Nothobranchius furzeri: one gene and its partners. The main gene of each other region encodes a partner of the protein of the gene in region 3 in a complex. Links are inferred from orthologs where the notes say so. Each region holds a gene or a part of one and is shown on either strand. Other genes may lie near its edges. The genes, in order: samhd1, cdkn1bb, ccna2, rb1, e2f1, cdc6 and rbl1.

The links.
Region 1: the proteins of ccna2 (region 3) and samhd1 are in contact, whole or in part, in a cryo-EM structure (PDB 9HIW), measured with the Homo sapiens proteins. The link is inferred for Nothobranchius furzeri from reciprocal best matches to the Homo sapiens genes CCNA2 and SAMHD1. Residues at the interface, in NP_001228.2 of Homo sapiens: Met210, Ile213, Leu214, Trp217, Glu220, Val221, Glu224, Arg250, Leu253, Gln254, Tyr280, Ile281, Thr282, Asp283, Asp284, Thr285; in NP_056289.2 of Homo sapiens: Lys615, Ser616, Arg617, Val618, Gln619, Leu620, Phe621, Lys622.
Region 2: the proteins of ccna2 (region 3) and cdkn1bb are in contact, whole or in part, in a crystal structure (PDB 1JSU), measured with the Homo sapiens proteins. The link is inferred for Nothobranchius furzeri from reciprocal best matches to the Homo sapiens genes CCNA2 and CDKN1B. Residues at the interface, in NP_001228.2 of Homo sapiens: Met210, Ile213, Leu214, Asp216, Trp217, Glu220, Val221, Glu224, Met246, Arg250, Gly251, Lys252, Leu253, Gln254, Leu255, Tyr280, Ile281, Thr282, Asp283, Thr285, Tyr286, Thr287, Gln290, Arg293, Met294, His296, Leu297, Lys300; in NP_004055.1 of Homo sapiens: Lys25, Pro26, Ser27, Ala28, Cys29, Arg30, Asn31, Leu32, Phe33, Gly34, Val36, His38, Leu41, Thr42, Asp44, Leu45, Glu46, His48, Cys49, Asp51.
Region 4: the proteins of ccna2 (region 3) and rb1 are in contact, whole or in part, in a crystal structure (PDB 1H25), measured with the Homo sapiens proteins. The link is inferred for Nothobranchius furzeri from reciprocal best matches to the Homo sapiens genes CCNA2 and RB1. Residues at the interface, in NP_001228.2 of Homo sapiens: Met210, Ile213, Leu214, Trp217, Glu220, Glu224, Arg250, Leu253, Gln254, Tyr280, Ile281, Thr282, Asp283, Thr285; in NP_000312.2 of Homo sapiens: Pro869, Lys870, Pro871, Leu872, Lys873, Lys874, Leu875, Phe877, Asp878.
Region 5: the proteins of ccna2 (region 3) and e2f1 are in contact, whole or in part, in a crystal structure (PDB 1H24), measured with the Homo sapiens proteins. The link is inferred for Nothobranchius furzeri from reciprocal best matches to the Homo sapiens genes CCNA2 and E2F1. Residues at the interface, in NP_001228.2 of Homo sapiens: Met210, Ile213, Leu214, Trp217, Glu220, Val221, Glu224, Arg250, Gln254, Tyr280, Ile281, Thr282, Asp283, Thr285; in NP_005216.1 of Homo sapiens: Val88, Lys89, Arg90, Arg91, Leu92, Asp93, Leu94, Glu95.
Region 6: the proteins of ccna2 (region 3) and cdc6 are in contact, whole or in part, in a crystal structure (PDB 2CCH), measured with the Homo sapiens proteins. The link is inferred for Nothobranchius furzeri from reciprocal best matches to the Homo sapiens genes CCNA2 and CDC6. Residues at the interface, in NP_001228.2 of Homo sapiens: Met210, Ile213, Leu214, Trp217, Glu220, Val221, Glu224, Tyr225, Arg250, Leu253, Gln254, Glu277, Tyr280, Ile281, Thr282, Asp283, Thr285; in NP_001245.1 of Homo sapiens: His89, Thr90, Leu91, Lys92, Gly93, Arg94, Arg95, Leu96, Val97, Phe98, Asp99, Asn100.
Region 7: the proteins of ccna2 (region 3) and rbl1 are in contact, whole or in part, in a crystal structure (PDB 1H28), measured with the Homo sapiens proteins. The link is inferred for Nothobranchius furzeri from reciprocal best matches to the Homo sapiens genes CCNA2 and RBL1. Residues at the interface, in NP_001228.2 of Homo sapiens: Met210, Ile213, Leu214, Asp216, Trp217, Glu220, Glu224, Arg250, Gly251, Lys252, Leu253, Gln254, Tyr280, Ile281, Thr282, Asp283, Thr285, Tyr286; in NP_002886.2 of Homo sapiens: Gly654, Ser655, Ala656, Lys657, Arg658, Arg659, Leu660, Phe661, Gly662, Glu663.

What each region holds. Positions count from the first base shown.
Region 1 is NC_091755.1:60,840,837-60,844,336, forward strand, and holds part of samhd1 (deoxynucleoside triphosphate triphosphohydrolase SAMHD1), read right to left. Parts: intron 3,391-3,500; coding exon 3,290-3,390; intron 3,193-3,289; coding exon 3,084-3,192; intron 1,817-3,083; coding exon 1,725-1,816; intron 1,618-1,724; coding exon 1,502-1,617; intron 507-1,501; coding exon 367-506; intron 1-366.
Region 2 is NC_091744.1:57,772,252-57,776,095, forward strand, and holds cdkn1bb (cyclin dependent kinase inhibitor 1Bb), read left to right. Parts: upstream 1-1,145; 5' UTR 1,146-1,411; coding exon 1,412-1,838; intron 1,839-1,968; coding exon 1,969-2,084; 3' UTR 2,085-2,099; intron 2,100-3,019; 3' UTR 3,020-3,344; downstream 3,345-3,844. UniProt on the Homo sapiens protein: Important regulator of cell cycle progression. Inhibits the kinase activity of CDK2 bound to cyclin A, but has little inhibitory activity on CDK2 bound to SPDYA. Involved in G1 arrest. Potent inhibitor of cyclin E- and cyclin A-CDK2 complexes.
Region 3 is NC_091741.1:74,293,420-74,297,422, reverse strand, and holds the start of ccna2 (cyclin-A2), read right to left. Parts: upstream 2,801-4,003; 5' UTR 2,700-2,800; exon of another isoform or gene 2,374-2,699; 5' UTR 2,338-2,373; coding exon 2,131-2,337; intron 1,434-2,130; coding exon 1,175-1,433; intron 1-1,174. Other genes in the region: bbs7 (Bardet-Biedl syndrome 7 protein), read right to left, coding at 3,691-3,824, 3,934-4,003. UniProt on the Homo sapiens protein: Cyclin which controls both the G1/S and the G2/M transition phases of the cell cycle. Functions through the formation of specific serine/threonine protein kinase holoenzyme complexes with the cyclin-dependent protein kinases CDK1 or CDK2.
Region 4 is NC_091750.1:48,268,348-48,271,847, forward strand, and holds part of rb1 (retinoblastoma-associated protein), read right to left. Parts: exon of another isoform or gene 3,474-3,500; intron 2,339-3,473; coding exon 2,223-2,338; intron 1,993-2,222; coding exon 1,826-1,992; intron 1,547-1,825; coding exon 1,401-1,546; intron 1,314-1,400; coding exon 1,209-1,313; intron 1,137-1,208; coding exon 1,023-1,136; intron 948-1,022; coding exon 799-947; intron 706-798; coding exon 675-705; intron 584-674; coding exon 444-583; intron 301-443; coding exon 254-300; intron 181-253; coding exon 110-180; 3' UTR 1-109. UniProt on the Homo sapiens protein: Tumor suppressor that is a key regulator of the G1/S transition of the cell cycle. The hypophosphorylated form binds transcription regulators of the E2F family, preventing transcription of E2F-responsive genes.
Region 5 is NC_091755.1:51,396,350-51,400,605, reverse strand, and holds the start of e2f1 (transcription factor E2F1), read right to left. Parts: upstream 2,801-4,256; 5' UTR 2,686-2,800; intron 2,603-2,685; 5' UTR 1,723-2,602; coding exon 1,471-1,722; intron 737-1,470; coding exon 637-736; intron 1-636. Other genes in the region: znf341 (zinc finger protein 341), read left to right, coding at 3,359-3,389, 3,707-3,817. UniProt on the Homo sapiens protein: Transcription activator that binds DNA cooperatively with DP proteins through the E2 recognition site, 5'-TTTC[CG]CGC-3' found in the promoter region of a number of genes whose products are involved in cell cycle regulation or in DNA replication.
Region 6 is NC_091747.1:65,956,138-65,959,000, forward strand, and holds the end of cdc6 (cell division control protein 6 homolog), read right to left. Parts: intron 2,258-2,863; coding exon 2,190-2,257; intron 2,116-2,189; coding exon 1,934-2,115; intron 1,297-1,933; coding exon 1,156-1,296; intron 756-1,155; coding exon 663-755; 3' UTR 501-662; downstream 1-500. UniProt on the Homo sapiens protein: Involved in the initiation of DNA replication. Also participates in checkpoint controls that ensure DNA replication is completed before mitosis is initiated.
Region 7 is NC_091743.1:73,535,670-73,539,735, forward strand, and holds the start of rbl1 (retinoblastoma-like protein 1), read right to left. Parts: upstream 2,801-4,066; 5' UTR 2,678-2,800; coding exon 2,516-2,677; intron 278-2,515; coding exon 144-277; intron 1-143. UniProt on the Homo sapiens protein: Key regulator of entry into cell division. Directly involved in heterochromatin formation by maintaining overall chromatin structure and, in particular, that of constitutive heterochromatin by stabilizing histone methylation.

The DNA of each region.
Region 1 (3,500 bases), on a different chromosome or scaffold from region 3:
CCAGAGTCAACATTAGACAATTACAGCACCAAACAGGAAAAACAAACAAACACAAAGTGATGCATCTGTAACTACAGAAATTTACTGATTCAATCAACACCTTATAAATAATTTTATAACCTTAACTACCCAACAACATTTAGAAACTGCAAACATTCTGAGATACTACAGGTAAATAATCATTACACATAAAAGTCAAACAAAACTCAGAGACAGAACCACCACTTTCAAGTTTAACTCAACAATGCTACATATGTTAATCAATTAACCCTTCTTCCTTACCACACATAGATCACTTCCCAAACTGAACCCACCCGGTCAAATAAACCAAATGTGTTGAATTGTTATGAGAAGACAAACACAAACCTGGGTGACGATTAAGGGCTCGTTTGGCTGAGTTTGGCCCAGATACTTGTAGAGGTTCCTGCACAAGATATCTCGCAGGATCTTCCTCGCCTCCGTGAGCTCCGGATTGGAAGAGTTCAATATCTGTTCAAATATATTATCTAAAAGGCAAACAGGGAAAATCACAAAGACATCAGTGATCAAAGTAAAACAAAGTTTCAAATAAATACCTGCCACAAGTGCACTACTTCACTGGAGAATTAATGGGATACTAAGCAGTTCTGCTTGCTTTTGGTACCCCCCTAGTGCCCATTCTTAACTCATTCACTGCCAATGACGACTAAAGTCGTCATTTGCATTTTTTTTTACTGTGTAGGCATCGGAATGAGCCCCTGCACTGTGAGAACAAACGTCTCAGCTCTAAAGTCAATCTTCATCCGCATACGTCACACGTCACGTGATCAGGAAGCAGAACATCCATGTGTTAGGAGATCGTTTTGGGCCGCTGCTGTAAAAAAAGGCGCGAACCGGAAAAGCTTCTGCCAATCACAATTCAACAACGAATTATGAAAGAACGGATAACGCTCGAAATGCGTGGATTCTTCCTAATGTAAGAGGTGAGTTTCCTCTTTGTTTTGGTTGTTTTGGCGTTGACATCATCCTAGGGTGCAACGTTCTGAGACTCTTAAAAAAAAAAAGTAAAAATGGCGAGAAACTGGCAGCGAAGGGCTTGACGGATCAGGAAACGGCTGGCAGCAAATGAGTTAATTAACTGTGTTCAAAGCAAAAGTGAAACTCATCTCCTAGCTGTGCGTTTGTCTTTTTAACACCTTAATCTAACAGCTGAAATGTTTCCTCAGCCTTCATTAGTGTCTACAGGAGCGATTCATCACTAAATCCAACACATCAGCTGTGTTCATGATCTAAAACATGCAGGAAATGTGCTGGAAGCAGAATGCAGTGCCAGGTATGTCAGCTGAATTTTAGGTGGCAGCCTGGCACTCTGAAGTTGCAAGTGTGGTATTCTGGCCACAGAGGGCAGTGGGGTCTGGGTGGCTTTTCATTAACCCTGTAAAGGGTCATTTTAGCACATACTGGCTCCTATTTCTAGTGCAGCTTTAAAGATACGTTCTTCTAATATGATGCATTTACTGACCAGTCAGCTTGGTGTAGGCCACCATGTCTTCTACAGCTGTGGAGATGGTAAACATCTTCCCATTCGAACCTTCAATCTGAATGTGTGGATCTGCTTTTAAAAAGGCCTCCGTGACCCTGCAGAAACAGGTTTAACACATCAGTGCTTCTGTAAACAGCTCTGCATAAAACACACAACAGTAAATCCTGAACTACAGGGACCTGCAGGATGATGGGGAACTTACATGACCTCTATGATGTTGCCCACTTTGTGCTGGTAGGCTCTTCTGTGCAGACAGTTTCTGGTGTGAAACATGTCATACAGATTTCCCACTTCCTGTCACATGAAACAGATAAAATTTCTATGTAAAAATAAAAAAGTAGTGATAGCAGGGTTTCTTCTTTTAACCGAGTACTGATACTTAAATTTGAGTACTCACTAATACCATGTACTGATATTTTATATTTATTTATTCTTTATTTAACAAGTCCCACTGTTGAGATTCAAGGATGGTCGTGGAGAAGAAGCAGCAAAAATACAGTTAGAAAATGTCTCAGTTGCTCAGTTAAAATTGTATACTTCATAGAAAGCAGCTGCAACACAGGGGGTGTGTCTCGAGTGCAATCTGATTTAAGGAAATAAGCTCGGTTTATTTCCAGTTTTCCTGCAACCTGTTTCATGAAGAAGGAGCAGAGTGAACGAAAGTCCAAAAGATATGAGTAAATGTAGTTCCACTCCTAAAAACTTCAACCTGTTAAATGTTTACTTTCATTTGACACACTACAACATAAATAAACTTTAGGTCTACTTTACTGGTGAAAAGCCACCCTCTGATTGTATTTTACCAACATAAAACAACTCAGTTACATTGAAAAACCAAATCTTCTAACTAACAGCCTCGTCAGCAATGTGTCTCCTGACATTTTAGGTTTAACTTAGAAACTACTTCCTGAGAAAGATACTTTTTATTTAAAGAAAAGGCGATTCTCTCCTCCTCTGTTTAGGTCTGTGCTGCAGGGTGTTATCAGAGTTCGGCTTATGTTTAAAACGCGATGCTGCTCACCAAAACAAGAAATCAAATGTATCTTTTTGCTGAGGAAAATGACTGAAATAAGAACATATAGTAACTTTAATCTGATTACTAGTTTGAAAATAGTGACATTAAAACTGTTATCACACAACCTGGATGAGGATGAAAACAGACAGCGTTGGATTACTTGTTACTGAAATATGAACATAATTTACTGTCTTTTTGTCACCTTTGTTCACCTGGAAATGCCTCCACACCGCTGACATAGCTCCTCCTCTGCTACTCAGCTGCTTTAAGTCGCGCTGCCGTTAAATGGTTTGATGAGCAAGCTACTGTCTACAGCTTTTTCTCATTTTTAATTGGTTTTTATTTATTTTCTGGTGCATTACCTCCACTTATTGGATTAGTGCTTTTGTACACAGATTAATGCTGTTTGTTTAAGGGAAACAAAGCTCTTAGCATGCTGGTATTGGTGGCGTAGCATGGGAGCAGTTTTACGAGTACAGGTACATGCATTTGGTATCGGCACTGGTGCATCCACAGGAAAAAAAAAGAATAAGACTAAACCATCACCTTATCTCTAGTGCAGATCTGCTTCTGTCCCTTGTCCACACACACCCTGGCAAATTTAAGGAAGCGCCGATAGTCAAAGTTGTTCTGGATACCCAGCTGGTGGCAGTCCCTGAGATATGTCCAGGGGGAAAAGAGGAGTTATGAAATAAAATTTAAAAAACCCCACAAATTTTGAAATTAGAAAGAAATCTAAACGTGAGCCCAACCTGGCAAAATAGTCCCACTTGTCCACATCGATGCCGTTCCTTTTGTTGGCAACAACCTCATACAGGAAGGACTTGTCTTCAGGACGTCCTTTGTACGGCCACTAAACAGAAACACAGTTTACTATCTCGCCACATATGTTGAAGTAACAAACTGCCACTAGGCGGGTCTAAACTTGGAAGACATCAAACAATTTTGATGAAACCTCCTTTG
Region 2 (3,844 bases), on a different chromosome or scaffold from region 3:
TTTGGCAGTCAGTGAGAAGATTTTGATGGACTTTTACTTTATAAGTATTTGTTTTTATGGACATATAAATATGTAAATGCATAGCTGTGATGCTTATTTAAAAGTGTGGTATTAAAGTATTTGATAAGATTGGTTTCTTGCTGATTTTGTGCTGCAATAGTTTAGTCAAGTGAACACAAGATGGCGCTATTGTTTTAATGGCTGGCTGTAGCCGGCCTCATCTGCACCACTTATCCTGCTGTGACCCTTTTAAGTAAACATTTTTTCCAGTAAAAGTACATTGCATCATTTCTCACAAAACAGTTTAAACACTGCACTTTTATTTTGGAACATGAGGCCAAAATCAGCCTTACGTCTGGTGTTTTATTTTCTGTCAGTTTGTGTAAAAAGTAACAAAAGGAGAAAAAAGGTTTTCATGCAGTCATTGACAAAAAGAAACTACCTTAAATTATTTGTATTATATATATATAATGATGTAATTCTCTCTTTTGGGAGTGCATGCTGACTTTTATGTGAAATTGTGAATTTTTTCAGCTGCGATGTAAAAACCAATGCTCGACCCACGGCAGGTTTGATTTCTGCAGGTTCTTGGCTTATTAGTTTTGTTTTACACTCCGTTGTAGTGTGTCTTTGGCATACGTGTGTTGCTTTATGATGCTGGATTTTTTTTTTAAATTTGGTAAATATTTGGTTAATACTTATATTTAGAATAAATCAACTATTAAAAACAGAGTAATGCACACTGAAGATGTTTAGAAAAATAATGGTTTTGACTCCTTTGCAAATTACCTGTAAATTTAGTATTTTTTTTAGATGTGTAACTATAAAGCTTGTGTGATGTAGTCATTTACACAAAAATACGTTTTCTATTTTTAAGAAGCATACATAAATATTTATTTTAGTAAAACGTGATGGAAAAATATGAGCCGACTTCCCCACTCATACACGCCTACTGTCACTTTAAATAAAGTAGGTGGGGCCAGGTGTCGCTTAACCAATGAGCGTCCTTTGCCGGGTTTAAATAGCTCTGTGTGTCAATCATAAGCCCCTCCCCCTCCCGTCTCAGTCCCCACCACTGCTCTGCTCCTCAATCGCCATATTGGGTGCTGAGGTTTCTCTGCAGTTTCTCTCTGAGCGGAGCGAAACTGACAGCGTCCTCAGTTCCTGTGCACTTTGTTTTGATGATTCTCGGAGACCATCTTCGACTCCAGAGCCCCGCAGCAGTTAACGTCTTCCACTTCGACGTATGCATGGCATAGGTGTAGAGCTGCGTCGGATCTTTCCCCCGTGACCTGGAGATACCGCTGTTGTTGTTTTTTATTTGTATTTTTTTTTCAGCGACGTGTTTTTCTTATGACAGCTGGACGCTCCCGGCTGACTGAAAATAGCGTGTTTATTGGGGGGAGGGGAAATGTCTAATGTTCGAGTTTCAAACGGGAGTCCGACGTTGGAGCGGACGGAGGCCCGGGTGTCGGAGCACCCGAAGCCGTCTGCCTGCAGAAGTCTGTTCGGCCCGGTGGATCACGAAGAGTTAAAGAAGGATTTTAACGAACACATGCGGGAGTTCAAAGAGGCTGCCGCTGCCAAGTGGGGCTTCGACTTCGCCAGTGACACGCCACTGAGCAACGGCAGGTTCAAATGGGAACTAGTGGATTCCGAGGAGATGCCGGACTTCTACCACCGGCAGCCGCGGAGGGAGAAGGGCGTCTGCCCCAGGAGCACCAGTGTGGATCTAAACGGGAACCATAACTGCGTCCTGGTGGCGTCGAGCGGGGATACCAGCAAGCCCGACGGTCAAACGGAGTGCACCGGGCTGAGGAAGAGACCTGCTAGTCACGGTACTACATTTGCATCTAATCAGGTTTTAGAGCCGGAGCTCGGCTTTCACCCGACAGGAAGCACATCTATAACCCTCTTCTTGTGTTTTTGCTCCGAGTTTCCCTGACAGAATTTCTTTGCTGTTCGCAGAGCCTCCGACCCAAAACAAGAGGTCCCATACCAGCCCAGACGAGGTTAGCTGTCCGAACCTGAGCCACTCAGTAGAACACACACCCAGAAAGCCCAGTCCCAAGAGACAGACGTGAGCCCGAGAGAAAACGGTGAGGCTTAAACTCATCCGTATACAATAACCGCATGTAGCTTCTGTTCCTCAGCTGTGATCTGAGCCACAGCAGGTTATATAACACGTTCTCTCCACATATTATCGAGTAGCTTTAACGGTGCTGCACGCTTATTTTATCTTCAGTAAGTAAAATGCTGGACTCTAGTAACCATTTCAACATTTTATATTCATTTAATCACAATGAGATCAACTCTGCCGAGAGAAAAAGGCTTTAACGTCTCACTGCTGCAGCTTTTCTACTAAACTGTAAACAAGGGCTGAACAACAGTGTAGTAGTAACACGTCAGCAGCCACTGCCCTCGGAGCAGAGCAGAGAAGGGGCTGGTCTCTGAACACACACACGCACGCACGCACACACACACACACGCACGCACGCTGTCCCTGCAGGCAGAGGAGTGTGCTGAGGAGACCCGCAGGTCCGAATTCAAGTAAAGGGAGGAGGGATGGGCACGATGAGATCTTCCTCACAGTGGTTTAGGACCTGTTTAGGCTGCAGATGAGAACACTTACATCAATGTTTCTTTTTAGCACAGAAATTTGAACAATAACCGGGTGTGATTCAATATGAGGATGTTTTTCTGTTCAAAAGTAAATCCTTGAAAGATTTTATTATAAAATATGATGAAAGAACTGCACTAAAAGACAAAATAGCTGTTAGTTTCATAAGTGTGTGTGTGTGTGTGTGTGTGTGTGTGTGTGTAACAGGTCAGTTTAGCTTAACCTTGTTAGTCTTTTTAAAAATAGGAAACTGATAGGGGGTGCACACTTGAAATAAACAGTCTAGTTATGAAAAATAATTAAAGTGAAACTTTTTCCATGAATTGTTAAAAGATGATTTTTCAAAAATGTTAATACTAACCTTTTTTTTTTCTTATTTTTCCCACCTTCTCCACACAGTTCGAGCATTTTTTTTTTTGCGAGGGTGTTGTTTTTTATATGCATCTTTTATTTTATTTTTTTGGAGGCCTGACTGTTTGTTGGCTTTTTGGGGATGAGGATCTGCGCAGCATCAGAAACATATCGGCTCTTCTGAGGACTGAGGAGGACGCTGTTGAAGCACTGAATAGAAACACTAAAGTTGTGGCACTCAATTAAAAATAAGTTACTGCCTCTAACAGCAGTCGATGTAGCAGTGTGCAATTAGGTTTTATTTCCCTTTTTTGCTCGTTTTGTTACTACCTGTGTGTAAATAAATTAATAAAGATGGATATATATATATATAGGTATAAATATGTCTCCATGTGTAGCACATAAGGAACTTAATTCTAAATCCAATCCTTTTTGTAAAAAGTTGTGAATTTTCATTTGACTTGAAGAATTGCAGTGATGGTTTCCAAAATGCTGTTTTTTATTTTTATTTCCAGACTGTGTGACATTTGCCACTGTCCTTAATTGCTACACTTAAAAAGAAAAAATCATGGCTTCTCACCGTTTCTGTAGTGTTCCTTCACTCCGTCAGCTTCCTAATGCAGCAGTGAAGAATGGTACAAATGTAGCTCACGTATCGTAATTTAATTTGTTTTTTCATTTATTACAGCGCCTCCCTGCAAAGGGCTGGACTCGTCTAAACGACGAGGAGATGTAAAAATTCTGTTAAGATTTTCTGATATTTATTTTTTAATCGAGGTGCTTTTAGCATCAGAGTCCTGGAATATTATGAAACAATTTTTTTGAAGTTTTTCTGTGCGCCTCAGCTACGTTTTAATGTTCGAGTGTTTCCTT
Region 3 (4,003 bases):
CTAGTTTCTCAAGAAAAACTATTTTTTGGACACTTTTCTGTTTCTGGTGCTGTGAAGCTTGGAGGATTTTTACTGCTACTTTTAGCTTTTTTCACTTTGAGCATGTTGTGATGCGTAACCATGGCAACCGTCTGGTTTACAATCGGGAGCAACTGATTAACATTGGAAAGACTGAAATAATACCTCAACTGAAGCCACAAATCCCAAATGAGCTAAAACGCAAGAAGCGTGGGTGCAGAGCGGGACGGAGACAGAGAAAGAGGAAATTCAAACCATCTCTTCCATCGATCATAATGGGCAATGTGGATGGAGGAACTCCAAGCCTTTTCAAGGACTCAGCCAGAGTTTCGGCAGTTTCGGAACCGCTGGAGGAGATAATGCAAAGAAGGATTCTCCAGAGAATCAAGAAAATGATGGACAACCCTGAGCATTCTCTTCACAAGACTGCCCGACAATGGAAGAGTGTCTTCAGTCAGAGGCTTCTTCAGTTTTGCTGCAACACTGACAGCTACTGGAGATCCTTCCTGCCAACAGCCATTGTGATATACAATAACTCTTTGATGACTTGATTAATATTATTAATATTATATATTATTATTATTATTCTGAGTTATTTTTATGTATAATTTTAGAGGGAAGTGGAATTTAAAAGTACAAAGAGTAAGGACAACATTGAAAAGGATGTCTATTTCAATAGCGGGCGTTAAATTCTGGAATGAGTTAACAGAAGAAATAAAGGATAGTAGTAATGTAAACCAGTTTAAAATAAAACTCAAAAAAGAAATGTTAAATAAGTATAAGAATGAAGAAAATGCAATTAACCCAGGACGGCATGCAAACTGATGTTTAATCTATTCTACAAATTAGAAAATCTAAATGTAGTTCTAGTTGAACATGATAATTTTATTTATTTATTATTATTGTTATTTTTTTTTTGAAGGCATTGTAACTGTTTTGTTGTTTAAATTTTGATGAGGATGTAAACCTGAGGGGTAGGGCTAAATAAGTATACACTTCTCCCTACTCCTTTTCAAACAATTGCGTGGAATGATTTTATGAAATGTTGGTGAATGTATATGTTTGAAATAAAGTGAACTGAACTGAACTACTACAGCAATCAATTTCCCTCTGGGATTAATAAAGTATTTTTGAATTGAATTGAATATTAACCCACCAAAGCTGACATCCATGGCTAACGGAACCGGAACCTCGATCACTGCCAGGGGCTGTCGGAGTCGTGCCACAGCATGACTGACAACCAGAGGAGATTCCTCCACTGTGGGCTTCGCTTTGTTTGTTTCAGCCACATGCTTTTTGTCACAGGCTACGTCAGGCTCATCCACATGGATCTGGAAAGCTGGCTGCTTAACAGGTCTTTCAACAAGGATTTTGTTAAAATCTTCATTTTTGCAAGCCAAGGGCTGTGATGTTTCCTGGAACAAAAAAAAAAAAAAAAATCTGTAATGTACAGACATCTGCCAAAACTTGATTTGTGAATTAGAAACTTCTGTGGAAAATGTGATTCAAATATAGCAAATTTCTTTGCATTTCTGTTAATGTGAGGCTCAGTGGAAGCAATATATTATAAAGTATTATTAACTATTAATACTACATTAAAAAGGTAATAAATTAGTATTTCAAAAACTTCTCTTCTCAGACCAGCTGGTGATTAATTAGTTTAACTCTACAATAGCAAAATGTATTAGGAAGGACCCAAAATGTATGCCCTTTATTAGAACACGAAAAACATGCAGGTGTGTAAAAAAATAAATAAAAGAAGTCTACAGATTATGCTAAATTAATTTTACCTCTGTGTTAAGTCTCGGTTACAGGATACTTGTAAATGCAAAGAAAATCTTGTGTAAATTGACTTAAATACAGTAAATGAAGACGGGAGGTTCTCCAGAAGCACATTTGTGTTTAGAACAAAGCAACTCAAGGGCTATAAGGTTATTAAAATGGCGGAAAGCAGGGGAAACTTAACAGAGCAACATAACATGTCATTTTACTTCATTTTTAAAAAGGCGCTTAAAGCAGCTAATTAACGTACTTGCATCCAAATGTAACCATTTTAGTTGCCTTCAGAGCCTGCCTAGGTGTTAGCTTAGGCCAAGGTTGCTAGCCTGTTACCTGTTTAGCGCCTCGCTGGTTCTGGGCTTTGCTCCGATGGTTGTTCTGCAGGGCTCCCAGCACGGTTCTGTTGGCGGCTTGTTTGGGAGGCTGGTTTTCTTGGTTTTCACCAGCTCGGTGTTTAAGCGACCCTCTGAGCCTTGAAAGCATGTTTTCATGGTTGGGGAGCTCACTAGCCGCATTTCCTTGCCTGTTAGCTCCTGACATGTTTCCACCCTCCAAGAGAGAATCCACTTCTCCGCACTTTTTTTAACAAAAAAACAAATAAATAAAAAAGCAGTGGTCAACCGTAGTGTGCTTCCTCACAGAGCGAAAAAAAGAGGAAAGCTTACAAATCAAAAGGCTAAAAAAGATGGCGTGTGAGCAGTTATGTCGAAGCGAGCTTTAGCTGTTGCACAGCAGACTGAATCGTGAATCAGAACTAAACTGTTGAGATGGCAACAGCACTTGGAACTGCAGCGCTAGAACAAAGCAAATAAAAACAAACGTGCACCTTTGACATCGGGTTGGCAAAACTAAGGAAAAACTAAGTTGCCATTCTATTTATAAGTTTTGTATCCGGTACAAACCTGCACAATGACAGCAGCTATTGTCGATGCATTTTCATGCAAACACTTAGAGAGTTCAAGTAGCCCGCGATGATTGAAACCGACCAATCACAGACCGCGAAGGAACTGACGTATTACAAGTGTAGGAGGCGAGGAGGGACAAAAAACTTTAATTGCAAATTTAAAACCGGTTTGAAAAAAAGATCCCAAATACAAAGTTAAACGCGAGTAACAACAACGTTAACGCATTTGGAATAAAAATCTTTGCTGCAACAATTATGTATATTTATATCATTAGAAGCACTTCAACATACTTAGACGTCTTCCTAACCTAGGGCTCGTGCTTGAGGTCATTTCTAGGTCCACCAGTATACTTGTTTACTGAAAGACTTGCACATATGTTTAGTTTAAGAAATTACTCATAAGACTATAATTTAAAATGTTTAAATACTATTGTATTTTTATGTTTGGCTTTATTTTTCATGTGTCCTATTCTTACATTAGGTTGAATGACCACTTATGCTGATTAGATAAATTTGTGTATAAAACTTAAATCCACATGGAAGTACCTAACCCAGTATACAGCAACAACTTGTTTCTTGACGAATCTGTTGTAGCATGAGGTACATTACATTAAGATGTAAATAATATGGAATAAAATTGAAAACAATTGGTGTGTTAGCTATTTTTTACTGACAAGTTACTGCACAAGGACTGGTTTAATACAGAAAGATTAGATATTAAATTGAGTAGCATTTGACACACATACTATAACTGTAACAAATTCCATCAAATTCTTGCATGAAAATAAGAGTATTGCAGTATTCTCCTAACCATTTGCAGTACGCCTTAATACATCAAAAGTAATTTATTACTCAACTCTTAAGGGAGAGTAAATTATTTCTAAATAAAATTTAACAAAATAACACAGTCTCAAAGATGAACTATCGTCATGTAAAGATTGCAACACAACAACCGTCACAGAGATAGATCATCTTTGGCCATTATGGCATCATGGCTCATTGAAAAAGTCTAAGAGTGACTTTAATTCGTAATTATCAAGTATCTCCAACAACGAGGACACTTTTGTTTTCACATTTTGGCCCTTGAATTTGAATTTGTCGATGAAGAGGTCAGTGATCATTCCTGCAGGAAAACAGAAATACACACAAAACTTTATAAAGTGAAAATCAAAAAGCAACAATAACAAAAATTAATCAACAGTGAAAGTTAGTTCTTTTTACTCCAGCTTTACCGTAAAGCCTTTCAAGGTGGGCTGGCTGCTTCTTGTACTCCTCCAGAAGGTTAGCAGACTCATCCAAAAT
Region 4 (3,500 bases), on a different chromosome or scaffold from region 3:
CCTCATTTAGTAAAAACACAAAAAGAGGAACATGCCCTCTGACATCAGAGTAAAATTAAATACAAACTTAAACAGTAGTGAACAACGTGGCCATCGGCGCATGTTGGTTTTAAAGTGACTCCTTCCTGGATTCGGCGTCTTCCTTCAGCTTCTGCTCCTGCATGCGACTCCGAGTGGAGCCTGCACACAACAATCCCACTGGATCAATACCAACCCTTTTCAACGGCAACAACAGGAATATAAACACACTCACTCATCTCTGTCAGCTTCTGTATCAGAGTTGAGTCTTCTCCAGGTTTGCTGTAAATTGCAGTAAAGACACTTTAAATCCTCCTAACTCGTCAGTCAGCTGTTTAATATACCACAGTTACTTTTCTTTATGTCCAAAATAAAAGCAAACATGTTTGAGGCGCAGTTACTAAATCATGGCTGTGATAACCGACCTGCCGTCAGTTTCGTCTTGCCCGTCGATGTCGAAGCGGAGCCTCTTCAGAGGTTTTGGAGTAGATCCCAGATCCAGGGTCCTCTTGTGGGAGCGATCGCTGCTGACCATCTGGTTGATCTTCTGGAAGCGATTGGACAGCTGCAGATGAGGACATAACAGGATTAATGAATAAGTCAAGTGTGAGAGAGGAAAAAAGGAGTTGCAGCATTCTGTGAGGGTGACCATCTACCCCAAACGATTCCCCGATTGATACCAGCATTCTGCAAAGGGCACGAACAACACCATAAGATGTTTTAAAATACTTCAAACATTTGAAATGAATAAAATTCAAATCACAAAAATGAAGCACCGACCTGGAGCGAGGTGTAATAATACCCGGGGACACGCGAGAGCTCTTCATGGGAGAAATGTAAACGTTGTTGCTCCCAGGAACACGCAGAGGCGAGTTGGGGAACTTATAGGGACTGCGTGGTATTTGTGGGATTGGAGAGAGGGGGGGCGGCTGGAAAAAAATATCGGTATTAAAGCAGTAAGCTTTACTGGTCATAAATGGATCCAAGCTTCCCTGTGGACTTACCCTGGTAGATGCATACTGCAGGATGTTGGTTTTTAGCTTCTGCATGAACACCTGGTTGTAAAAGACGATGATGGAGTCGTACTGGCCTTCAGTGATCAAGACGTGTTTAAATGTCTGCAGAGCACAGCAGGTTTAATAAGTGGTGAATTAACAGGAAGTTCACTTCTACGGATGAAGCTGCACCACCTCTTGGTTGGTGTTGGGCAGGTTCTTGTACGCCGACACGATGGACTTGAAGCGCAGATCGACACTCTTCACTTTGCATATGGCATACATGGCTGACATCATCAACTGCAAAAGGACAAGCAGGTGATTTAATAGTAAAAAGAAACAAGAGGTGGAGACGGGAGGATTAAAGTCATGCTGGTGTTGAAGCACCTGGTCCAGGTGATGGTCTCTCATCAGCTCGTACTCATGCTGCAGAGTGTGCTGGAACAAGGTCCAGATGATGGGCTCCAGTTCAGGGTGAGAGGACAACAAGTAGGAGCAGAGCGTCTTTAGTCTGGTGTACGCCAGGCAGTACACTACAGAGGAAGGGGCAGAGAAAACACGTGTAAACTACAGCGTTAACATTCAACCTCATTTCTTTGAGTTCAGAGAGGAAGGCTGTTAAACGAGCAGTTGGGTTCATGCAAACGAAGGAGAAAAATAACATTTCTGCAAAAAATGATTTGAGTTTGTGAAATTCTAAAAATATTTTTATAGCAAATCAACTCTTGTTTTACTGCTCATCTCAACAAATATTTCTTACTAAATACAAGACAACCCCTGAGCCCTCAGATCAGTAACTAAAATTTACTTACATTTTTTATAGAAGAGGCTTAGGGAGTTGGACTTGGAATGTCGTGGAACTTGACCAGGAGCTTGAGAGGCGGGGTTGGAGGAAGCCACGGGGGCAGACTTGCACACGGGCTTCACGGGGGACTCAGGAGGCGAAACCCACTGGCCGGCTCGCATCGGTGACAGATATCTGCTCATGCGTCAGTGCAACCAGTGGAACATGTTAGATAACCTTTCAACACTGATAAGTGACATTTCCATCCCAGGAAAAACCCAAACACTGATGCGCAGCAGGAAACTGCGAGTGAGTCATGGAGTTCGGTGAGGCACAACGGTTTCACAAATTTAACCCAAAAAAAAAAAGGGTTTTAGGGTCTGAGATGAGATCTTATTTCCCCGACTGGTTGTAAAGTAACTTACAGGTCTGCAGCGGTGTGGTTGTGCTGCAGCGGCTGGCTGAAACTGCCGGGAGTCTCCACCTGCTCCTCTGCTCCACTCCCACGTTCCTGTTTCAGGAGCTCAAACAGCGGGGATCCCTGACAACACAAACACACGCACAGATTTACTTTAATCCTACGATTTATTAAAACTGTGAGGAATAAAAACACACCGGAGAGGTTTTCACATCGTCACTTAAACCAAACCACAAAACACACAAAACCTGTACAAATGTGTGCATTGTTTCATCATCATTACATCTGAGCTCAGTCTTCATATCTATTTTTCTTTAATCCGCAGCCTACACAAGCAGCCTGATGATCTGATCGCCAACCCCAACCCAAGTGTGAAAAGGAAGTGGTTATACGTGAACTTTACACAAAATTTCCCTCGCAAAAATAGTCCATATTACACGTCTCTGGTCTGACAACACAACTGTTCCTCACTGAATATTGCCACAAGGACACGCCAAGTATGTGACACAGATACAGGAACATCCAGCGTCAAGCTTGATTAGATCTGAAAACCTGCTAAACTGAATCTGATGGAGCTGGAACATCCTGACGGTTTAGGGAGCGTGTGACAATAAACAAGCACACAACTCAGATCAACACCTCTGGGGAGGGGGATCCTGGAGGCTTATTACCCTATGATAAAAAAGTGACTTCACAATACACATGTGACTGTGTTCAGACATGTTTGGAACATTCTTTGTGTCATACTCGCATGCTGCACCCCGCTGACGTCACCGATGTTTCGAAAACAAAATCTGTGGCTCTAGTGGGTAGCGTGACATACTAGGTTTGGTAACTCATTATCTTAAGAGTTTTGTCAACAGCTGATTTGTGTTTCTAGTGCAGCTGCATTTACTTGTCAACAGCTGATTTGTGTTTCTAGTGCAGCTGCATTTGCTTGTCAACAGCTGATTTGTGTTTCTAGTGCAGCTGCATTTGCTTGTCAACAGAAATATTTAAATTTAATTTTTATTTTAAACAAATCATCTGAAGGAGGACTTTGACCCCTGTGCAGACTCCTCCCTGAGCCACAGAGTTCTCTGAGCCTCACACGTGCAGCAGTGGGACGTCTGAGTTACAGTAAAGGAGGAGCAGAGAGCTACAATGAGCTCACAGGGGACGCTGCGGGAACATACGAGAGAACGAGGGAGGAGGAACCACCTGACAGATCACAGAACTGAGAAAAAGAGCTCGGCTCTTCCACCCGAGGGACAGATATCATGTCTTCTGTAAAGGAATACTGATA
Region 5 (4,256 bases), on a different chromosome or scaffold from region 3:
ACCTAGTAAGACGTCTGACTCTCGTGCAGAAGATCTGGGTTTGATTCTGGATGTGAACATAGTATAATTAGAGTTTACTTTTTACATTAATGGTATATTTTTTACAGTAAGATGCCCAAATTTTTATTTGAGACTCGCCGAACGGCATTTGAAGTCACAGAAAACCAAAAACGTTTCATTTTGGAACAATTTTTCAAGCAAGGGAAGGGAATGATCTGAGCATGCAGGAGGACTGACCCATCTTAAACCTTTGTCGGCTGTGCTGAAGAGAAAGGTACAGAACCAAATTATTTAATTAATTAGCTGCGCGTTCTCCTGTCCTCTGTCCTCCGGGCTACACACACACACACACACACACACACACACACACACACACACGGGACTGTCTCAGCTGTTACTTTCGTTAAGGAGTGTGCACGTACAGCATGCGCGCCTCGTGCACGAGCCTACTATTAAAGCTGCTGTTACGTTTTTGGCCTGAGGGGGCAATCATGAGCATAAAAATTCACAAGTCCGTAAAGTCCCTTTAAGGCTCGTCGTCGCTGTACTTTACTTTCATTCTAAAGAAAAGCACAGTTCCTTAAATTTGAAAAATCCACTATACTAAAACTCAAAAGTGCGTTTGTGGGTGCATACCTCTGGGAGGAGCAGGCGTAGAAGGCGGAGCTTGACCCGTGGGAGGTTGGGTGGTGCTGATGTACTGATGGTCACTATCCAGGTCCAACTTCCTCTTTACCTGAAGATGGAAGCATGGAATACGTTATATTTGTGTGTTACCTAAAGATGCACGGAGTCAGAACGACATCCTGTGGTCAAATCTGGGTACTGCAGTCCGTGAATCAAAACAAACGAGTCTGTTCTGAGCCACTGTTGCCAGTTACGGCACGGCACCAGAAGATTCTAGATGATGAGCAAAGACGAGTCATACGCGGTAATTTGACGAGTAGATAAATATATTTTGCTGTAGTATCGAAGTTTGCTTGTAATCCACCGTTAGCATTGTTAGCTCAATGTTAGCCTCTGCATTAAGAACACAACAAAAAGAGGCCGTGGCTTCTTCGGGGTTACATGAAATAACGTCGCTCTTTTTACTGACTTCCATTTTGTTCCACAACGCCGCAGCATCATGCCGGCCGATGTCAAATTACAAATGTCGGTGCAGACTTGGCAAACCTGCGGGCACGTATGATTGGCTCTGGAACCAGGAAGTACTGAATTGGGACAGATTGTAAACAAAGACTACCTTCCTCTTTGGTTTTTAAGTTAAACTAGGAAACCTGACGACCCCATAGCCGGCTGAGAAGGAAATCTGTTTTTAACGTAACCGTTCTTCCAATACCACTCAGATGTTAGACTGTTATGGGATTATTTCACAGTAAAATTATTGTTGCACCTTGAAGAAAATGCTTAAAAAGCAAAATATGACATGAAACTTCTCATTTAACCTCATCTCACTCCCACTCTCCTCACCGGAGGTCTTCCCAGAGCTGGCCGCCTCTTGTCCTGGGCCCCCACGTCAGCGGGCCCCTGTGGCGTGGCGAACAGCAGGATTTCCCCCGTGCTGGTCGGGGCTGCAACAGGGTGGAGTCCCTCATTGCTGGGGCTGGTGATGATGACTACCTGATGGTCCTCGCCCAGTTTTATACTCCCAGAGTTCAGCAAGGTCTCAAAGTCAACCAACAGATCCTCCGATGTCTGCCCTGTTATCAGAGTCTCTGACATTGCACTGGGTCACCAAGTGCTCCTTCACTAGTCTTTGGGTGTGCTGGGAGGGGTCACAGGCTAAGATGGTGTACTCTAAAAGCACATCAGCACCTGCTGACATTTGTAGTTCTCTGTAAATTCGTGGAGCAGGAGTAAAAAATGCTCAAACGTCCCAAATTGGAACAAGTTGTTTTCCTCACAGACAAACATTTATTACAGTTTAACTCAAAGAGTGATAAATAAACAGAACTTGCCAAATCAACTTCAGACCGAACGGAGAAACTGGATGTTCTGCCAAACAGGAAAATGACAGATCATTGCTAAATTGCACAATATCTCTACGCCATGAGGGTCTAACGCGGGATTAGCACCTAAAACAGGGTCGCGAGACCCTGCCGCGGGTCTGAATAAACGCTAAACATAAGGACGCCAGCGACGGAGCGAGCAAATCTTTTGTTTTCGTGCCTCCTGTCAGCAGAGTTCGGCCGCGGCCTGAACACACAGCTACCGACACGGCTAGCAGGCTAACTCATGGCTCAACAACAAAGCCTCGGAATAGTTCTCGAAGGAGGCGCGGAACGAGCCGTTCCCAGCCGTAAAACTACCACAATCACCAAACATCCGAAACTGGGACAACGGTTAAGCTACGGAAACTTTAAATCAGCTTTTCAAAGTTAGCTAACAAAGCAAAATACAGAGAAGTCGAACGGCATCGCCGTGACTCAAAAGCATCATTGATTGGGTATTTATGAAAACGTCTGGCTAACAAAGACCTTATAACAGTTACTATGTTGAGTGTGGAAATGTAGGGCAGATTAGCATGTTAGCTTTAGTCATTAGCCGCAGTTCTTCAGTCCCCTCGTTTTGTTGGGGCACTGCAGGAAGCAGTCAGACAAAACTGGAATTAAAAAAACGAAACAAAACGGTCAAAGTACAAACGCATGCTTTAAAACCGCCGCCGATGCACTTTCAGCTGCTCACCAGGGCTGCGGTTCTCTCATGAAAGTGTCCACCCGAGCCCGATATCAGCCGTTATTGTTGTTATTGTCCCAGCTGATCTACATCTAAACAAGCGTTGGTCGGTTTTCGCGCGAAATCCATTTTGCCGCGAAAGTTGCACGTGGGGAAATCTGACGCTCGCCATTGGCCAAAAAGATGCACATTCTTCGAAGAGAAACCGGAGCTTTCTGATTGGTGTAAATGAGTGTCCGTCATGTAGACGAGCACAGACTAGTCGATATGAAGATGCGTTCAGGTTCCACGGAAGAACCTCAACTAACTAGCGTTTACAATCATTTCGCTTAGATCAAAATCAACATATCAATGATACATTGATCTGATGTCACATATTAAACATTTAATAACATATATTAGTTATTGAAAAGCCGTGACCGAACTTACAAATTAAAGTCCTTACGTGACTTGTATTTTATTTTGCATGCTATTTAAAACATTTGATGTTTTAGCTATTTTGTTTTAAGACTGTCAGGAATGTCCACATCATATTATAAACAGTTTATGCAGCTCTCTATTGAACAGTATATTTTTTCAAACACGAATTATTCGTAAAAATCTCGTCGAATTTACAGAATAGAAATGTCCTTTAGGTAGCAGCCCTTGCTAATCGAGCGCCTATCTCTCAGAAATCTGCAAGATGGCGCAGGCAATATTCGAGGTGCTTGAAGGTAGCAATATTTTTGTTAACTACATAGCTACCAACATGTTTACATGTCAGAAAATATTTTTTATAGATAAACATGTTTAGAGCCATTTTAAAATGTGGAAATAATTGTGAAACTATGCATAGGTGTTTACTAATGTTACAAAAATCAAACCACCCTGCTAGGTTGGTATGTACATGTAAACAATAACGGTGATTAATTACACTACGTATGTTTAATAGGTAGTTGATTATTATTGTGCTACTAGATTATCAAGCAGAGCTTTTAAATGTAAACACGTGCATTGTTTCCTCCCCCCTCTGTTGTTTCACTCTCTCTAGGCATGGACAACCAGACTGTGTTGGCTGTTCAGTCTCTGCTTGATGGCCAGTCTGGAGTTCCTGACCCAAATAATCAAAATGTGTCAACCACGCCCACTATTCAGTCTATGGGTAAGCAGTAGGACGCACTAGCATATAAGTTAGGCTGTCATTGCTTTCTTTTATAATTTATTTAGGGCAAGGTGCATTTGGCTGTTGGTTAAAATAAAAATAATGACAACAACCACTTTAATAATAATAATAATAATAATAATAATAATACAATTCGAGGTTCCTTTTTAATAAAAGAAAAAGGGGAAATAGCAAAGGTAAAAAAAACGTAATAAAAGCAGGGACAAAAATGCAGCTGGACACAAAATGGATTTTTTAAAAGATGAGCTTTTAAAAATGATTGAAGAGTAGAAACGGGTCGATGATGCCCATTTCATGAGGAAGAAAATCAGAGGGGAGCATGGAAAGGTAGAACTGGATGTCGTCTTTGTAGCAGAGGAAATCGATATTAAAGCAACACGTTCCTGCTTCTGCTTCCTACTGGCTGAAATGGTAAATG
Region 6 (2,863 bases), on a different chromosome or scaffold from region 3:
AGGGTAACAGGTGAAGATCTTCAATAATAATTTGCTGGTGCTGGGAGAAGACTTTGCAGGAGAGAAAAGAATAAAAGTTGTGCATTGTCTAAGACCTGATCAGATTTGTGACGAGGTCCTGCAGGAGACAGAATTTCCCCTAATGCATTATGGGTAAATCAAGTGTGGATGATTGAAATACAAGGCAACTTGGTGGCGTACTTCTTGTCCAGTCAGACATTTAACAAACTGGGAAGGTAGAAAAACAACTTGAGTAGTTTAAGACCAGAGACAACACCATTTTTCCTCTGATAACACACCTCTCACCAACATTTTAGGTTTATATTATGGAGGAGGTAAGTGTTTGCAGTGCTCCAGTTTTCTGGTGAGGGGGCTGAGTCAAGGCACTCCTAAAAATAGTACGAGTTCCAGAGGTTGATTCACCTTGATGGGGTGACCTGGCTCTGTTCTGAGAGACCCCCCCCCCCCCCCCCCCCCCCCCGATAAATGTAAAGAAAGGATGTGTGTCAGTGAATGTTTATTTACAGCATCAAAAGAGACTTTCAAAAATCTGAAAACACACCATCTCTTCACAGCACAGCGATCCAGTAGAACAGTGCTTCTGCTTCAGAGAATAAAAAAGTAAAGATCCAAACTGACAGAAAAAAATCTAACAGAAGACATCATGAGGTTAGTCCAGCAGAGAGGATGCTGCCCAGCAGCGTTCGGTCCTTTAGAGCATTCTCAACATCCTTCTCTTCAATCTTCAGAAACACCTGCAACAGCAAACAAGTTCTGCTCAAACAGCTGACACGTGTGTGTGTGTGTGTGTGTGTGTGTGTGTGTGTGTGTGTGTGTGTGTGTGTGTGTGTGTGTGTGTGTGTGTGTGTGTGTGTGTGTGTGTGTGTGTGTGTGTGTGTGTGTGTGTGTGTGTGTGTGTGTGTGTGTGTGTGTGTGTGTGTGTGTGTGTGTGTGTGTGTGTGTGTGTGTGTGTGTGTGTGTGTGTGTGTGTGTGTGTGTGTGTGTGTGTGTGTGTGTGTGTGTGTGTGTGTGTGTGTGTGTGTGTGTGTGTGTGTGTGTGTGTGTGTGTGTGTGTGTGTGTGTGTGTGTGTGTGTGTGTGTGTGTGTGTGTGTGTGTGTGTGTGTGTCCTCTCCGACCAGCTGTCAGGTTTGTACCTTAGTGAGACGAGCCTCTTTGGCCTTCTTGAGGGCAAAGATTCCCCGACTCTCCAGCAGGCTGCAGAGCGTCAGACACTCGCCCTGCCCGACTGCTGGCACGTGTCTCTGACCACACACACGGCTGTACACCTCATAGAGCTGAAACACAAAAACCTCTGAATTCCTCTGGTGCCGAGGTGATGTCTTGTTCAGAACGCTGCTGCTAGAGTCTTAACAAGAACTAAGAGAACGGAGCACATCACTCCTGTTCTTAGATCCCTACACTGGTTACCAGTAAACTACAGAATAGACTACAAAGTGCTCCTACTAGTTTATAAATAACTCAATGGCATGGGACCAGAAAATATGTCCGATCTCATTCCTGTATATAAACACCCAACAGGGCTCTGAGATCCTTGGAAACAATCAGCTGGTAGAACCTCGGGTCAGAACCAAACATGGTGGAGATGCATTTAGTTACTATGCTGCTCACATATGGAATCAGCTTCCCCATGACCTCAGACCTGCCCCAGCCCTAGTGTTGTTTAACCCTAAAAACCCTCATGTACTCATCAGCCTTTACATGAATCGTTTCTTACCATGCATCGTCTCCACTGTAATCTGTGATGTAACTGTCTTCTCCTTTAGCTCTAGACTGTAATTCTATCTGTGTGTGTTTTAGTTTGTGTTTTTATGTCATGTCCTGATAATTGTAAAGCACATTGAACTGCCTGTGTTTGGAAGGTGCTCTAGAAATAAAGCTGCCTTGCCTAAACATTCGTTGGATCAGGCTCACCTTCCCCAGATGGGTTTCTTTGCCCTTTCCTTTGCTGGTGAGGAGCAGGAGGCAGCAGACCAGCAGCTTCTGCTGCAGAGGGAAACTCTCTCCCTCAGACTCTCCGCTCTGAGACGTCATCCGGTCACCATACACTTCTGACAGAATCCGCACCACCTGCGGGAGTCCGACCCGACCCACCGCTGCAGAAGACAGCACACTTGAGTCAGTTTCCTCTCCACATTTCCCAAGAGCCAAGCTTTCCCAGGAAACTCACACTTTGTTTCTCCGTTAAGGTTTGCTGGCCTTCTCTTGCCCTCAGCCTCGGCCATCTCCACGGCTCTCCTGAAAGCAAAGGGTCAAAGACTTTTAATCATTCTAAAGTTTCGATGTGACTCGTGGCTTGAGGCTAAATCTTCATTTACTAGGGCCTTGCTAGGGGCGCTGTTCCTCTATTTTGAGCTAATCCTTAAAATACTCCACAACTGACACATGCTAAATTTATGAGCTTTTGAACAAGTTAAAGCCCCCAAGTAGCAAATTCAGTTTGGGAAGAGTAATAAGTAACGAGAGCATAACATGACCATACTCAGTACATTCAACTTCAGTTCCACTCTTCTAGTTCATCCCTGGTTATTGCAGGAGTTCTCCAAGGCTCGGTTCTAGGCATCTTCTTACTCATCATCTGGTTGCTTCCTCCTTGTCATATCAGGTGTGGAAACGTAAACTGCCGAGCGCCATTGGCGGTAAATTTTCTCGTTGGGCGGTAAATAATTGATGACTTACAGCCCGGGTGGTGCCCAAGCTTTGTCTGTCATTTATACCGGCGTTCACCTCCCCCTGTGTCCAGGCGTTTAAGTACATCGTGGCCGCGCCCTAGGGGTGCAACCAATGGATCATCATTGACCCGCGATCCATTCAGATCTCTCTACGGTTCGGCATGCACTCGGT
Region 7 (4,066 bases), on a different chromosome or scaffold from region 3:
AGGCGACACGTTAGCTTGGACCGGATAAGAGCATCCCTATTTAAAACTGCATTTGTTTTCTAGAAACCCCTAAGAACAAACCAGAACACAGAGATACCAGAATAAGGATCGTAGAGACAAAACATGTGTTTATAGCGCTGAACCTGAGTTTGGAGCAGCGAAGGATCCTGGTGAGCGAGACACAGTTTCCCTCCATCAGCCCTTTTCCCACAGTGGGAATGGACCCCTTCCTGCAGGCAGCGTACAGCGAGCAGGCCAGCCAGTGGACCACATCCCCCTGCAGACAAACAGCAAATCACTTTAATTGTCTTCACTCAGCATAAACAGCAAACTGGGAAACTAATACTCCACTATTTCCAGTACACAGAGCGACTCAGCAGATACAAGAATAGCTGCAGAAACAGCAAACAGAACTACACGGAACATGACTGAAAACCTATGTGCACATTTTAATTACTATGTTTGATTTTTGCACGCAAAATTCTGCCATCTTTAATTAATGAGACAGCTGAATGGTCCAATTATTTATAATTCAGAAGAGTTTAACGACTAGCATTTTATCATCTATTGGAGATATGTTTTTATAATACAGACAGACTATTAGTATTTTTGAAGGTCAATTTCTCAAACAAATATTTTTCATTAATAAATCAGAGAAGCAACCATTTCTGAATGACAGATAAACTCAAAGATAAACGGAGCATCTGTTTGGTTAGAGGCCTTATGTTTAAAAGCATAACTGAATCATTTGAGGTTAATTCAGTTTCCCCCTCTCCCCAGGTCAAGAGTCTGGGTGTCATCCTAGACAGCACACTATCCTTCCAATCTCATATCAATAGCATCACACGGTCAGCTTATTTCCATCTTCGTAACATTAATCGTCTTCGCCCCTCCCTTGATGTCCACTCTACTTCTATTCTTGTCCATAGTCTGGTTACATCGCGTATCGATTATTGCAACTCTCTTCTCTCAGGCCTCCCTCAGAAAATCCTCCGTAAGCTCCAGTTGGTCCAGAACGCAGCAGCACGCATCGTCACTAAAACTCCCATCTCTCATCACATCACCCCCATCCTCAAACAACTCCATTGGCTACCAGTGCACACCAGGATTAACTACAAGATTCTCCTTCTCACCTTCAAGGCCATCCAAAACCTCGCCCCTCACTACCTCACAGATCTCGTTCACATCGTCACCTCGTCCCGTTCCCTCAGGTCCTCCTCCTCCATTCATCTCTCTGTGCCCTCCTTCCGTATCAGCACCATGGGGAGTAGAGCCTTCAGCGGCACCACTCCCAAACTCTGGAACTCCCTTCCCCCTCTCATCAAGAACATTAACTCATTCACAGAATTCAAAAAACAACTCAAAACCCACCTCTTCATTACCACATATCAACTTTGAATTTTAGAGAGCCTTGTTTGTTGATGTTTACGTATGTTTACTTATTGAATGATTTGTGTTTTTATTCTGTACAGTGTCCTTGAGTGACCAGAAAGGCGCTTTTAAATAAAATGCATTATTATTAATAGGTAACGATGTAAACAAAGCCAACTAGCATCATTAGCTGTAGGAGGTTAAATTGTCAGGTACAAACTAATCTTTCATAATCTGTACCTAGATTAGGATTAGAATCGTTTTGAATAAAATAACCTTGTAACACCTCTCTGTGTGAACGTTTCTTTCCGTGAATCACCTTTGACCCCTGAGGATATAATCAGTGTTTACACCCATCCCTCAGACAGAAGTCTTCTAACAAACACTGCACAACTTTTGTTGATGTCCCGTCATTTTAGACGATGCTTCAAACTGACTGCACTACAGTTGTCTATGTTCCTGTCACACGGATTCAAAGGCAAAAACAAACAAACAAACAATTCTGATACTAATCAGGGTGAACAACAAAAATCAGGATTATATAGTGATTTCTGATACGATGTTAAAAGGAAACTGCTTTTAATTAAGATGTCAATAGTATGTATGAACAATAAAACTGATATTAATTGAAAAAGAACATCTGCTGCTTTGTTATCAGACTAAAGAAATCTTAAACATTGTTATTATTGGTCAGACCTTAAATAAAGCCGATCCATTTAAATAAAACGGATTTATTATTCACTCAGATGTCACTACCATGTTCTACCCATGGTTTTACCACAAATAAAAGACAGTCATAGTTGTTTTACGGTAAAATATATTTTACCTGGAAAAAATATTTCAATTTGATTATTTTTTATTATTCTTATGTAATTTCAGGAGGATTTTAATATTTGTTAATAATCAGTCAGTCATAAACTAAAAATAATTGTTTTGTTTTGTCCGGTTTTGTCTGACGTTTGCAAATGCCGTCGATCGACTGCTCGACAATATGTTTCTGTTCCTGGATGGAAGATTAAAAACAGGTCAGTTGTTGAATCCCTTTAATCTCAGTGTGTGTCAGCACTGAAATCCAGTTCTATGTAGGATGAAAGTTGTGGCTGATTAATTCGACAGTAACTTGTTATTAAAGAACATTATTCACCTCCAGAGTGTATGTGTTCCATATGGCTGTGAAGTTGTCCATAGCTTCAGTAGCGGTCTGTTCGTCCATGTTCAGCTCCTGACACAATGTCTCCAAACTCCTTCGGACTGAACTTTCCTCCATCCTGCCCGACTCGGAGTCCGACGACTCGTCACCCCGCATTCGTTCCAATGTACAGCTACAGCATCAAGTTTTAAACAACCCCCAGAGCCAGACGTTAACCAGCAAAACGCTGCCCTCTCCCAAACACCAACAAACAGGCTCCACGAGCATCCCACTTCCGCCTACAGTTCCCACAATGCAGTGCGTTGGCGCGAAAACCCTGCTGCTCTGACCAATCAAAGTCAAGACATGCGAAGCCCTCTCGCCCTCTTGCCCTACCCCTCTCGGTCTCCTTCAGGAGGTCGCTCCTAATTAAAACCACCTTTTTATGGAGTTACAGCTGTCTGAAATAATTAACTTTAAAAAGTAAAATTACAAAATATGCCGAGAAGTCGAGAAAAGAAGTATGCAATAACAATTTGGTAGCAATTCGTTAACTAACGTGCAGAGGGCAGTGTTCTGTTATTATAGAATTCCTGCTCATCTAATCAAAGGTTTAAAAAAGTGATTTTTTTTTTACAAAATACAATCCACAAAATCGGATTGAGTCTTAGAATAAAACGAATGTTACAAGGTGACCTTTTAAGTGTTCTTATTCCTATTGTTGTCTACAAAGGGAATGAGTTAACATATTATGTAGTATACCCTATAAAATACAATTTTTAGAACGATGCAGACTGCAGAGCCTGCCAAGAATTATTGTCTTTAATACTCTAAAATGTTAATGAAATAGCTGTTTAATAAAAAAAAAACAGCAATGCTCAAAACACTGTTAAAAAAACTTTGTTAAAAACACCAACAACATATCTATTTTTCTCTCCATGTCCAATTTGCAGGTTGGGGGCTATTTGTAGCTCTTGAAGTGCTTTTGTTTGGCCCCCACTTGCATTTCTAGAATCATGTGGCTCCAGATCCACCGGTTGCAAAACCTCTAAAAACCCATAAATATAACACAAGCTATCTTAATTTAAAGTAAAATAATTATTTATATAAGACATGTTTGGTTGTTTTATAGTAAATGGAACATTGTCCATTTAAAAGAATGAATGAACACAAACTCAAAACATTTTTGCTCAGATTCAGTTTATTGATGAATTAAGAGACAATAAAGTCAAACCCATAACCACATCTTTTTAAAAATATAGTGTAATAACAGCATAAAGGATGTTCACAGCAACACCACCAAATTTGTGATAGTCTTCATTATAAAAACAAACCTCTAACCGATGGTCTAAAGTAGCATTCTGCTAAACCCAACATACGTAGAAAGTTACCAGACTTGATTATTACAAGACTAAACACACCCTTAAAACCAGCTTTAAACTATTTTATTTCTAACTTCAAATGATTTATTGTTTAAATATTACAGTTAGTTTAAAGAGAAAGTCACCCCCAAATCAACTTTTTTTCTGATAAACTATATAAATGTGTGTCTAATCATGCTGTAGA